Caenorhabditis elegans: one gene and its partner. The protein of the gene in region 1 purifies or fractionates together with the protein of each later gene. This does not show direct contact. Each region holds a gene or a part of one and is shown on either strand. Other genes may lie near its edges. The genes, in order: K11H12.5 and T08G5.1.

Region 1 (7,153 bases):
TCCAAGTGCTTTTACCTCGCGGAAAATTTTCCTTTTAGGTAAAAGTCAAGCCGAACCAAAAATTCTCAAAATTTCAGCTTTCAGTGTCGTGAAATATAATGCCTGGTACTGTGATTGCGTACTTTCGAAGCTTCTGTAACCCCTCAAAAATCATGCTAGAAAGTTTCTAGTTTTTTGGGTTACATTTGAAATTTAGTTAATCTACATTTTAAATTAGAATTTTAATGAAACCTGAAAATGACAATTCCAGAATACAAAATCACACTCAGAAAAAAAAAACTTAAAGTGCAAAGAAATCTGCTCCAACCGGAAAATGGCAAATGACCTTTTTTTTGCAGGGCGAGCAAACATTTGGCGGGACACACCGCTGACCATGATTAACTGGAGGTGTGCTTGCTGATATTTGATAGTTATTGAGCAAACAGTGCTCTCTCGGCAGAAAGTGTTCGCCCATCTCTAATCAAGTGCCCATCGACAGGGCACCGCCACTTGCATAATTTCCTTTGACCCTTTTTCGGGAAGTCTGGGAGTGATAATTGGTGGTAAGGGATGAGTGTTTAGATTTTTTTTTACTGTGTTTTCCGGCAAATCGGCAAATCGGTAAATTGTCGGGATTGAAAACTTCCGGCAATTGCCGATTGTCCGAATTTGCCGGAAAAACGGCAATTGCCAACAATTTTTGGCAAATTTGGGTTTTGCACTTTCTTTTTGGAAATTTCAGAATCGGCAAAATTGTGTGTATCCTATGAATGTTCCTACATCTCTTTAGAAAAGTAAGCAAATTCTGTCAACATATCTAGAAAAGATAGGAAAACATTTCAAGAGGCACAGGGTAAGTGGTTCCGTCTTTTAAAAAATCTCTCTAAAAACTTCCGGCAAATTGATGTTCGGCAAGGGCAAATCGGCAAATTTCCGGAAATCAACATTTTCGGCGAATCGGTAAACCGGCACCTGATTTTTGTAACTTTCAAAGGGCCTCCAAACTGAGCAAAATTTTTTGTCTGTTTTCTATGATTAGTTATGGGAAATTTTGAAGTTAGAAACATTATACTGGAAAGCATGAACTCCATAATTTTCAGGAAAAAAATCATTTTGTTGTAATATGTTTTCTAGCCATTTTAGTCACCAGTTCACTTAATAAAAACTGTGTTCTAAAAGCTCAAAAATACAAGAACATTGGATGAAAAACCTTGAAAATCCAAAAAAAAAACTGGGGCTATTGTAGAGCACAGTTGCAAAAAGTTTATACTCAAGTAAAAAAGCTTCTGCTCGACCAATCATCGTAAACAAGACAAAAAAGAACACCGCATAACACAACAATGTGTGAACACCCTTCGTCTGCTCCGCTGCTCCGCCAACTTTTGATGATGATGTGTTTATGATAGGTGTGTGTGTGTGCTCCTCCTCATTCACCAGATGGCCTTTTACAATCACCGCCTGGCTTTACGTTTTCTTTGGTTTTTTATTTGTGACTTTTCCTTGGATTTCATATGTACATCATGTGGCTTTTGCTCTGACATGAAAAGTAATGTGTATTGTTTTGCGGGAAAAAAAACTATAGAACAACACAACAACAGCGAAAAATGTATGAAATTGGTGGAGCACAGAAGTAGGCAGTCACATTTTGAGACCAACGGTGATGACACATGTCTACCTACCTACGTGCCTGCCTATATATTTTTTTCAGCATTTTTATTAAAAAATTGGAATTTTCCGCCAAAATGTATTTTAAAGCTACAATCTGAGTTTACCACCATAATTATTGAAACATTAAAATTTTAATTTCTCACCAAAACGCAGAGAAAATTATTTTCAAAAAAATTTAAATTGAATTTCAATTTCTTGGAACAATTTTTAGAATTTAATTTTAATTTAATTTTCAATTTTTGAAAATACATTTAGTCCTTACCGAATAATTATATAATATTTTGAACTCGAAAATTTCCCGCCAAAAAAATTTTCAGAATAAATAATTTTTAAAATCATAATTGACATTTATTTTAAATTGAACATACCAAAATTATTACCCAGGCGGATTTTGCACCAAAAATACGGTACCTATGGTCTTGACGCGACAAATTTATTGTCAAATGAGAGTACGGTAATTTCAAACTTTCGGTGCTGCGGAATTTTCATCAATTTTTCAGAATTTTTCAATAAAAGTTTATTTATTATCGAAAAATCTAACTTTCATAAATTTGCATACAATTAAGACGGACACATTTTTCGAAGGAATTCGCTTTTGTTTTTCATATTCTTCAACGTATTAAATTCCACCCGATAAAACTGATCGGCCTTGTTTTTCGTGACATACTGTCCATCCAATTCAGATCTCATTTTAACACAAAGGTACAGCATTCCTCTTGAATTGTCATCTTTGTCAATTCTAGCTTTATTCTCGATAACTTTGAAAGCTTCCATTAGATTCAGAATCCGCGGATCTTTTGCAACAATGTCGTTAAACGATCGTAATGTGCTCGCAGAGTTTAGGAGCTCCGATGGACGAGCAATGACGAGCTTCATGGTATCTGCGTTTTCAGGAAGGTCACCATTCTGCAATTAAAAAATGTTGGAAACGTGTCTGGACTACCTTCTTGCCTGCCCGGTTTTCATTTTGCTGTATGTGTGCTTGCATGCCTGTCTACCTGCTTACCTTGTACCTAATTCATTCTTATCTGCCTGATTGAACACCTACGTACCTGTTTACTGCCTACGTGTTTTCCAACATACCCATTGTATGCCTTCTCATTTGCTTGCCTGTCTATGTGCCTGCCTCGTGTCTGACTGTTTGCCTACATACCTGCCTACGTACCTGCCTACATGCCTGCCTACATACCTTCCTTATTCCTGGCCTATTATCTACGTGCCTATTAGGCAGGCAGAACCTTCAAAAACAAGGTTAAAACCTACTTTTGAGCTGGCCATCCAATCCTTGATCGGTGATGTGAAAGTCGCATTGTACAGTTGGCAAATGTGAAAAACTTGCTCAAATAATCCGTCCGAGGTGTTAACAGCAGTATGCCTACTTTGCTTGAGAGATATCACAGAATGACATTTACCGACGGCTCTGCAAAAAGTAAATGTTTAGGGTAAGCTTTACAAGAAGGTACAGAATGCCTACGCATTTGTCTCAGAGAGAGAGAGTGCCTACACTTGCCTGGCGCCTACACTTAATAACGAATTAGCCTACCCGTCTACTCGCAAGGCAATCTTCGCTTGCCATGTGCCTACACCTACTTAGTAATGCACTTTATATCTACCTACCTGCCTTCAAAACATCTTTCGTCTGTCCTGTGGACGCCTACCGTCAGAACATAAACCTTTGTAGGCAGGCAGGTACGCACGTACGCCTAACGACCTACCTATCCAAAACCTTAAAAAATTACAACTTACTGTTTTGGAAAATCATTCGAAATTCCATCATACAAAAACACGGTCAGCTCTTTCGAAAAACAATCCACCAATTTTCCAATAACAGATCTATCAGCAATCCAAACTTTAGCCGTTCCATTTTTCAATTCCTGTTTCCTTTTTTTGAAGGCATCTTTATTCATATTCTTCAGAAAGCACTGCGTCATCTCACCGGATGAATAAAGTGCACGTTGAGCACGAAAACAGGTCTCATCGTCTTTTACAAAAATAAGGAATTGATTTGTGGTGTTGCTGGCCATTTGGAATACCATATGCACAAAACGTTCTTCGTTACTTGTCACCTCAAAATAAATGAGCTCGGGCTCTGCTGAGGCGTTTGAGGTCTCGGCCATCTTGTCTGGAAATTTAAAAATTGCCAACATTTTTTTTACACATTTAACAAATGTTTTACAAAAAAAATTAGCAAATTTGGGAAACCAGAATTTGAGCTATGAAAATAGCGGATTCTAGTATCTAGGCAAATAGGCAAAAGGTAGGCACGTAGGCTTGCAGCTAATAGGCCTGGCATAGTCCGCATAGGCACAGAGGCGTAAGGGACATGTAGGCAAGATGGCCCGAGGCAGGTAAGTTTGCCAAAAAAAAAGTCTGATTATTACGAAAGTCTTATAAAATATTAGTGTAATAACGGAGAGATTACGAAGCTAAATAAAAATAAAATAACTTCCGTAGAAGAGATTTAAAAGCCTTTAAAACTAAAAGTAAAGAAAAGGGAACAATTAAAAAAAAAAAGTACGCAAAATTGTAAAAATCACTTGTAGTGTATGGTGCAAAATAATAATAATAATATTTCGATAGGAGTAAATCGATGGAAGACTATAGCCTCTCTCTGGCAAGTACTATGGAGAGACAAGAGGCCGGGAGAGTGCGCGGTGTGCGCGCAAACAAAGGTAACTTTCCTATCTTCTCCAGTCTCGGGTCATTACAGTTTGCATTGAGATGTGTACTATCTTTTCCAGACTGAAGAGGACCGGTCAAGGCGTGAAGGGGCGCCTCTTATCCGCCCTGTCAGGAACATCAGGAAAGAAAATAGAAACTGCTGCAGGATGTTCTGAAGGCGTCCAGGTAGGCGAAAAATTCCTACGAGTTTACCTGTAGGTATAAGCGTGAGGCAACCGTAGGTAGCTTTCAAAGCTGGTAAGCAGGCGTAGAAATTGGCACGTGGTTCAGCGGTAGGTCAAGCCATAAGAAGGTAGCCTTGAAGGCATGTAGGCAGGCAGGTGCAAATGAAACACATTGCAATGGAATGCTCAAAAACTTTACTCACGACTTATGATAACAATCATCAATTACTCATATCTGCCGCCTGGACCAAATTTGATTGGACGAAGGGTTCGGAGCTTCATTGGCTGCTCGACTCGGGCTACGATCCTGAAAAGGTTGAGCTTCTGTCATTATTCAGAGAATTTCAGAAAACTCACTCATCACTGTCTGAATCGGCGGTCTTATGGTGTGGCATGTAGGTTGATGCAGTGCCAAAAAGAGCGACGAAGAGAAGGATGGTGAAGAATTGACGGAACATTATTTGGAAAATGTTTGATATTTTGAAAGAAGAAGGAATCAGTTTTATAGTTGAATTTTGCATAGAAATGTGGGAAATATGTTCAGATATGTAAATGATATGGAGATGAGAAAAATTTTAAGTGTGAGAGCATTTTTTTCAGGGCTTTCCATTCTTTGCAGATATGGACACATGATGCGCAATCCGCGACTTGTAAATGGTGTTCATTGTGCTCACTGAGGCATTATGTGGACATTGCGAATTACCTGTGCTTGAAAAGTTCTAAAATTTGAGATTTAATCTAACCTGTTACAATTAAGAAATAATAGAAAATCAATGATCACACTTCAGCTCACGATGACTCCACCGAAACGAATTCATATTTTATAGTAATGATGATATAACAATCACCTTTTTCTATATCAAACTAGGTACGTATTGAAATTCGGTCAAAAATTGACTCACCTCTCTCCCCCTCACGTCATTTTTTGCAAAAAATCCATTAAAATTGCTTATCAGTCCTGAGCGTCTGGCGCTTTTAAGCACTGTTACTCAATTGAATTTTCACTATTTGCCATGTCTAGAGTTTGTGTTTTCTTCCTTCTTTCATTTATTTTTTCGGTGCACGCCGACCCGAAAGTGGTGAATCTATTCCGAGTTACTTCACTTGGATCATTGACAATCAGTGTTGAGGTAAGGACTTAATCAATGTGATTTCAATTCAATGTTTGAATTTAGAGTGGAGGGAAGATTTTTCTAGCATCCGGTGATGACAATCAGTATCTGAAGAATATCCAGCTTACAACGGGGACTACAACTATTACGTAATATTTTATTAGTTTTATTAAAAATAGCAACCTATTAACTTTAGCCTAGATAAGTTGAACGATTTGAACGATGATGGATCTCCAAAGTTTATCACTGCAGCTGGAAGTGTGATTCTTCAAACCAGTAACAATGACACCACAACCAGTAGGCTTAGTGGATATATCTATGTCACTACATATCTACAAGCACAAGGTAAATATCACCTAGAAAATCTTCAAATTAAGTCTGGGAATTTTTAGATCCAACCTTTTCTGTGTACGTCCTCAAGACCACTCAATCAATCAGCAAAATGGGAATGAAGTCAACAGTAGTAGTTCTCAATACTGTTTTAAGACAAGAGCTTATTGACTACGATATGCCAAGAGCCATATCATATGTGACAAAAATCGATCATTCCCCGAATACAAATCTCTACTTCCAATGGGATATTCCTGCTTCGAACTGGAATGATGTGACCAATAATACATTTTTCCGAAATCCAATCGAGTTGAAAAATGGAACGGGTCCACATTTTAAAGTGTAAGTATAAAGAAGCCTAGGTCAAGCATAAACAGAACAGATGAGACCGAAAACTAGAACGCGGCCCAATTGTTGTTCAAAATGTCTCCTTGGTTGTTGGGCCGTTTGCGGCTGTTGGATAGCCACTTCTAGTCGGGTTGGGCCTTCTGATGCCAGCCATTTGACCGAATTTGGGCCGTGTTCAGCTTGAAAATAGCTATCTTCAAAATTTTCCTTTAAAAAAACTAGGAGGTTACGAAAGATTGAGCGGAAAGTGCTGTCAATCTCTAACGGATCGCAAATTTGAGTATGTTGAAGTTAGATCTTCAACTGTTTAACATTTTCAGATATAACTTTTTCATAAATAAGTCTTCATATCTTCCAGTTTCTTCGACAACATCGAACCCCTTCAAATTGGCCTAAACTATTGGTACATCACTTCTATGGGTCCCTTCAATTTGTTTTTAGAGAACAAATATGTGAGTGATCACAGTTATACGACCACTGCCGTCAACACAACTGGCATTATTGTGGGTAAATCGTTCTATGCCGACCGTGTCGTCAACTTCCAATCAGATACTTCAAGATCGTCTGCGTCTGGGTTTTTCGTGAGTTTTGGATAACCTTCCTTTTTAATATTTATAAGCTCTCAATTTTACAGGACTCTGCATATATCACCGATGATCTTACCATCAAATTGCAATTTGTCGGTGCTAGTTTTTCGAATACTTTAAGAAAAGAAAGTGAGACACAAAACTATGCCTGGTCCCCTGCAGCACCGGTAAATCTGACAGTTACCTCGACATCTACGCTTCCTGGAACATTTTACATTCAATATTTCGCATTTGCGGGTGATCTTCAACCACTGACAAGTACAGTCGCAACGAGCTTAATGCT
Region 2 (6,027 bases), on another chromosome or scaffold:
CGGCCTATCAATTTTCATTCTGCACATCAGCGAAAACTCAGGCAGCATTAGAAAAATGTCTCAATGCTTTTGATGGCGTTGCTGCTTTCAAAAATTCAACAAGTCTACAAAACCCGAAAAAAATTGAACGAATGAATGGATATTGTTCCACAATAGAGGTTGGTGAATCAAATCAATTTTTTCTACCCAAATTTTAGTTTTAGGCAAATTTTCCAGTACTCAAAAGATGTATGGACTACGATGCGAAATCCGTTGAGAAGTTACTATCCTTTTGCAGTTTTTACCAATTTTTTGCAAGCAAAATCTTCTGGAGATGTGCTCTAAAAATGAAGGACCAATATGGAAAATGCTTCAAAAAGTCAATGGAAACAGTTCTCGATGTTAATGTGAGTTTGAAAGATGTTGAAAAATAAAACAAAATAAAAAATGAAACACCATATGAAAACAATTTGAACAGTTTATTAAGTTTGAAAGAAATTTAAGTTTTTAATTTTTTATCTCCAATAAACATTAAGTATTCTCGAATTCAACAAACTTGATAAATATTTTTTAGAGTTTTCTGTGAAAAAAATTATTTTGTGATACATTTCCCTCTAATAAAAAATATCAAAAATATCAAAAAATAAAACAAATTGTTGCAAAAATGATAAAAACGAAAGTGAGTCACGGGAAAATAAGTGTGGTTCAGTCAAATTCAGATGCAATTCAAATGAGGAAATTAGAAAGAATTGTAGAATTTCAAAAAAAGTAATATTTGGCAAATTTATTGAGTTTTTTGTCTGTTTGTGGTAAATTGATATTTGGGATCAGGTTGAGCCTTCAAAACTTTCTCAAATCTTTCAGATAGAATCTTTCATGAGTTGAAATGCTCAAAACTTCAATCTGTGAGCAGTTGCTCGATGGAAGAAGTTCGGAACACGTGCAATATGAGGGCTTATCAGCGATATCACATGTTTTTGAATTCTCGACTTCAAGCATGGATATGTTAATAAATTATTTTTTCAAGTACAAGCTAAACTCAAAACTATACATTTTAATTGAAGGTTCAGTATCAAGTTTCTAATTTCTAAAAAAACAGTGGTCGCCAGATTACTTTTTATACTAGAGACGTTTGTAGTTCTATATTTCAGATTTAGTTATTAAATTCGTTAATTTTGTGTTACTATCTATACGTGACTACATATAAAATATTCATTTGTTCTTCTTTTATAAAAGTAAAAAGGTATTTTTTGAGCTCTCAAATTCTTTAATTGATTATACAACTTTCAAAAATTAAAGCAGGAATCACATTATAATTTTTGGGATTCCCCGATATCTAAATGGTTGTTTTGCGGATATTGACTTTCCTTTCAGATGACTCGGTGGCACTGCTTTTACAAATCGATTTTTCTGGAAAATTTTGAATTATTTAGCCTATAAAATCCACAAAACTTACATCATCCGGATGGCACCTCCTGAATTTAAGACCATAGTTGATAGTAGGTGGAGGAATTGTTGGATAACGTGGGTCTTGATGTACTCTGAAAAATTTTAAATGGTTGTGTAATGAGTGTCAGAGCTCACCGAATTTTTCTGGAGTGATGTCTTGGACGATATGCAATGTTTCTGGGTTTTTGATGGTGCTTTATACTATTAAAGTTTCTTAATACAGTAACATCCTCGTTATTTTGAGTATTTCGAGAAGTTGAAGTATTTCTTTGCTTTCTCATTTTTCTTCTAACTATTCGCTTTGGCTGTTTCTTCACTTTTCTTTTCTTCTTATGTGTTTCCGTTGTGTAAATTGGACCAGGTAGAATAATCGGTGATTCAACTTCCCGAATAGTCATCACTTCGTAATTCATCATTCTATCGTCATCTTGTTCACGAGAATGATTGTCAAATAATCTTGGCTGCTCTGTAATAACATCTTCCTGAAGACGAGCTTCACTAAAGCGCCTTCTGACAGAATCAGGGCTTGTTGGCACAGAGTTGAATGGGGTCCAGTCGTCTGAAATTTTAAAATTGAATCACTTTTACGGGTAAGGCAGGATATCACGATAGTGTCTAAAAGGAGGAAGAATTTTTTCTTGTTTTCTGCCTGGAATTGTTTCAGGATTAAAATAGCAAGCCTCGAAGTTTGCCCGCTGGCCCGAAATAGCCTATTCATCAGTCAGCCGCAGAAGGGTTGTTTTTGGGGACCCCGCTTTACCGGTGTAGTATTATTTGACATTGGTAATTTTTTAATTACGGTTAAACATAAGTTAAACAATAAAATTACAAACCTGCACAAAGAGTTCCTGGGCCACATAATGTTTCATCAATATCACTTCCCCAGGCGCTATGTCTATCTTCTGAAATCTCAGTTTTCTTTTCTAAATTAAATAATATTTCAAACCTTCTACATGTTCTGGAGCGGTTCTGGAACTTTTTTGTCCCATAGAGAATACAAAAAGAGACGAAAATGGTTCAGTGGAACGAAACAAACGTGGGATGTAACCATGGAAGTGAGAATAATTGATGGAATAGCTAATGAGCTGAAGCTGAGTAGATCAGAGACTACTTTATTCTAAAAAGTACAGTAGTTGGAAAATTACATGTTTCATTTCTAATTTTCAAGGAAAAGCTAGTAATTACCGTAATCTTGTTTGTACCTGAAATTTTATGTACTGCAGGTGACCAAGTATGTTTGAGGCATGACTTCACACACCTAACTGATAAAGGCCTCTATCACAAACTAGAGTTGTGACGGAAAATTCAACTTCTCAGAATATAGCTCAAAATCTATCAAATTTTATTTTCAAAAATCCAAATAATTGTGCACGCAATGTACTTACTGCTTCATAAAGTTCAGAAGAATTGGATAAATTTGAATGAAGTTTTCAAAGCTTTTATCAGTGACTGTACATTGTGATAGGCTTGTGCTGTTATCAGCTGCCTCAAATAGGTTGTCGCTTGAAAATTTATATAAAAGGCCTACCAGCAGACATGAGAATCAAGCTTCAAAGGCTCTACTCAAAAATGGTCTGCAAGTGTGGTAAGTTGAAATTTCATTACGCTTTTAATTAATTTTGAATGAAACCCCCTTTCCCAGACTGCAAAAACCAAAATTGTTCCTGCAACACCGGAACTAAAGATTGCGATTGCTCCGACGCCAAGTGCTGTGAGCAATACTGCTGCCCAACTGCCAGTGAGAAGAAATGCTGCAAATCTGGATGTGCCGGAGGATGCAAGTGTGCCAACTGCGAATGTGCTCAGGCTGCTCATTAATTTGAAATTAATACTCTTCCCTTTGAAACAAATTCCTACTAATTGATATTGTTCGAGGTTTTTTCTTGAAAGCTGAAATAAATGTTAAATATTTATTGTAATTTCTTAGATTTTTAAACTGTCTTCCTTGTCAACGACCAGAAGCAAAAATTATGGGAATCGCGATAAAATTCAAGGAAAACTTTTGATCATCACTTTTGATCTTCACACGATTTGTTCCTTTTCAAGTAAAATATAAATCTTTTTCCGAACAGACTGAATCCATTATCAATTTTATAGACAGTGGAAAACATTTATCAAGTTAAGACAATTTTGAAAATTACGAAAAATCATTTGACCCAAATGGGTCAGGTGTTATTTCTTAATTCAAAAGATCTCAGAACCAGGAAAAAACATTTTTGTGTGGTTTGTTTTCAGCTGCTTTTCACTTAATAAATCAATTAATGCATCAACCAAATTGTTAAAAACTACAAATAGTGCGACTGAAAATTTAAAAATTGTGCCCAAACTTTTAATGAGGTTATCAATTTTCAATATCTCGAACATTTGGAAATTTTTGGAATTTTTTTGTTGGAAATTTGCTTAAAGTATTTACTAACTTTTGATCTCATATGTTTGAATGGGTTTAGATGGAAACTACCAAAGAACATGTGCAAAAGATCTCAGACGCGAAAAGCTTATCCTATTGAGTGATCAGTTTTAGAACAGGTGAAAACGTTTCCTAGCTAAATTATGAGCTTTTATCCCTTTTTAATTTCTCTCCGTGATTTACTTTATTACCTCAATACCTCAAAATGTGCACCGAGGATATTAATTTATTTGCGACTGATGAGTTCTATGCTGGAATTCTTCACGTACCTACAGCCATCGAAGTGACCGTTCAATTGTTCGGAGCATATATTATTTTAACTAAAACTCCGCGCAAAATATGTTCTGTAAAGTTCAACATGGTCTTATTGCACATTGTGGGAGCAATCGTCGATTTATATCTAAGCTTTATTGCATCTCCAATGCTAACACTACCTGTCAGTTCAGGATATCCTCTTGGATTCTCTTTAATATTAGGTATTCCAACTGATGTTCAGGTTTATCTTGGATGTGTTTTTGTTGGGGGTTAGTTTATTTTGAATTGGCTAACTAATGGTAATAGTATAATAAATATAAAACGTCTTATTGAAAACAGAAGCTTTATTATGTTTTCAGTTTCGATATGAATTAATCTAATCTCAATAACAAATTATTTGATTCCCAATTTTTTTGTGATGTCTTTGGCTTTTTATTTAAAGAAAACTTCGTGCCAAATTTTGGCAACGCACCTTTGACAACTTTCTGTCCAATTTCGGCAGTTTTCTGTCGAACCTTTGTAACTTCCGAGAGTGAGTAAGTTGTCAAGGTTTGAGAGAAAAATCCCAGAATTTTACAGTAGGTTGTCTAAGTTTGACCAAAAGTTTCCAAAGTTTGGCAGAAGATTGACTAAGTTTGTTGGAAGGTTGGACAGAGAACTGCCAAAGTTTGACAGCAAGTTCCCCAAGTTACGAATTTAATGTTTACTCTAGGGTTTTCAAGCTACTATTCCTTTTTAAATTATTCAATTTGAGAGGAACCGAACAATTCAATATATTTCAGTGATGTGCGTGGCTGTAACCATATTCTTCGAAGATCGCTATCACCGACTAATACATGGGCATACAACAAACGGATCACTGAACTGGAAACGTACCTTATATGTTGTATTAAATTATACTATATCAGTGACGTTTATTATTCCCGCATATTTAAAACTACCGAATCCTGAAGTAGCAAAGCAATATGTGAAAAATGTGAGTTTTCGTTTTTTTTTTGAAAGCTTTAACCAAAAAGTGAATTACAGATAAATCCATGTATTCCAAATGAAGTTCTCAATCGTCGGGAATATTTTGTATTTGCCACTGATAATACAATAGTCAATGCCTGTCTTTTGAGCATGTTCTTCATATGTCTTCCCCAAAAATTGTATTTTCTCGGAGCAATTTTTCGATACTTTTCCCAAACAGTGTCTCTCTCGGCAACTACTGCTCGCTTACAAAAGCAATTCTTCTATTCAATGTGTATTCAAATATTTATTCCAGTTGCATTCATCTCATTACCAGTTTCATATTTTGTCATGGCTTCGGAAAATGATTACTATAATCAAGGTAAAATTAAGCTGAAATTTGAAAAAAAAAATCATTTTTCCAGCTGCCACAAACATTGCGATGATTGCAATTGCATGTCATGGAGTTCTTTCCACTATAGTCATGCTTATTGTTCACACTCCACACAGGAAATCAATTCTTGCAACACTACATTTCAAATCTGAACAAGCTGTTCGAAATTCACAATTGATCTGGAAAACTGTAGTATCAAGAGCATGAAGTTTTTTTATTTATTTATTATGGAAACCAGCAGAGGGGAAATAAAACAAATAGTTAAATTATAACCGAAAGGTCATGTTTGATTAGAAAAATAATAATGCTTATTGCACAGAGTTGATCAGTTAAATCAAAAATTAAAAGCATTAGAGTCAACAAGTGGAGCAACTGGACGGCGTCTTCTCTTGGCAGCTGGCTTATTCCAAAGATGTTGTGGTCTTTTATGTCCTTTGACTCGTTCGTAAAGATTACACGGACTGAAAAATATGAGATTTAAAAAACTCAAGTTCAAAACTTTTACACCTAGAGAGCCCTCAAAAAATAGTGAAAAAAATTTCCACCAATTTTTTTTTGAAAATCGTCGATCAAAAAACAGACAATGCTTTGAATT

Evidence for each region.
Region 2: the proteins of K11H12.5 (region 1) and T08G5.1 fractionate together in Caenorhabditis elegans (co-fractionation; one large-scale study listed by BioGRID). This does not show direct contact.

The regions. Positions count from the first base shown.
Region 1 is NC_003282.8:674,227-681,379, reverse strand, and holds K11H12.5 (DUF4276 family protein), read right to left. Parts: upstream 4,719-7,153; 5' UTR 4,697-4,718; exon of another isoform or gene 4,672-4,696; intron 3,770-4,671; 5' UTR 3,765-3,769; coding exon 3,394-3,764; intron 3,068-3,393; coding exon 2,911-3,067; intron 2,554-2,910; coding exon 2,209-2,553; 3' UTR 2,150-2,208; downstream 1-2,149. Other genes in the region: K11H12.10 (Neuropeptide-Like Protein), read right to left, coding at 4,719-4,800, 4,851-5,014; K11H12.4 (CUB_2 domain-containing protein), read left to right, coding at 5,507-5,623, 5,669-5,754, 5,802-5,950, 5,998-6,277, 6,642-6,864, 6,918-7,153.
Region 2 is NC_003283.11:14,015,590-14,021,616, reverse strand, and holds T08G5.1 (Titin), read right to left. Parts: upstream 2,852-6,027; 5' UTR 2,418-2,851; coding exon 2,375-2,417; intron 2,331-2,374; coding exon 2,262-2,330; intron 1,988-2,261; coding exon 1,564-1,987; intron 1,521-1,563; coding exon 1,436-1,520; intron 1,390-1,435; coding exon 1,285-1,389; 3' UTR 1,229-1,284; downstream 1-1,228. Other genes in the region: mtl-2 (Metallothionein-2), read left to right, coding at 2,998-3,013, 3,071-3,246; srh-308 (Serpentine Receptor, class H), read left to right, coding at 4,041-4,359, 4,873-5,066, 5,117-5,420, 5,464-5,639; end-3 (GATA-type domain-containing protein), read right to left, coding at 5,767-5,893.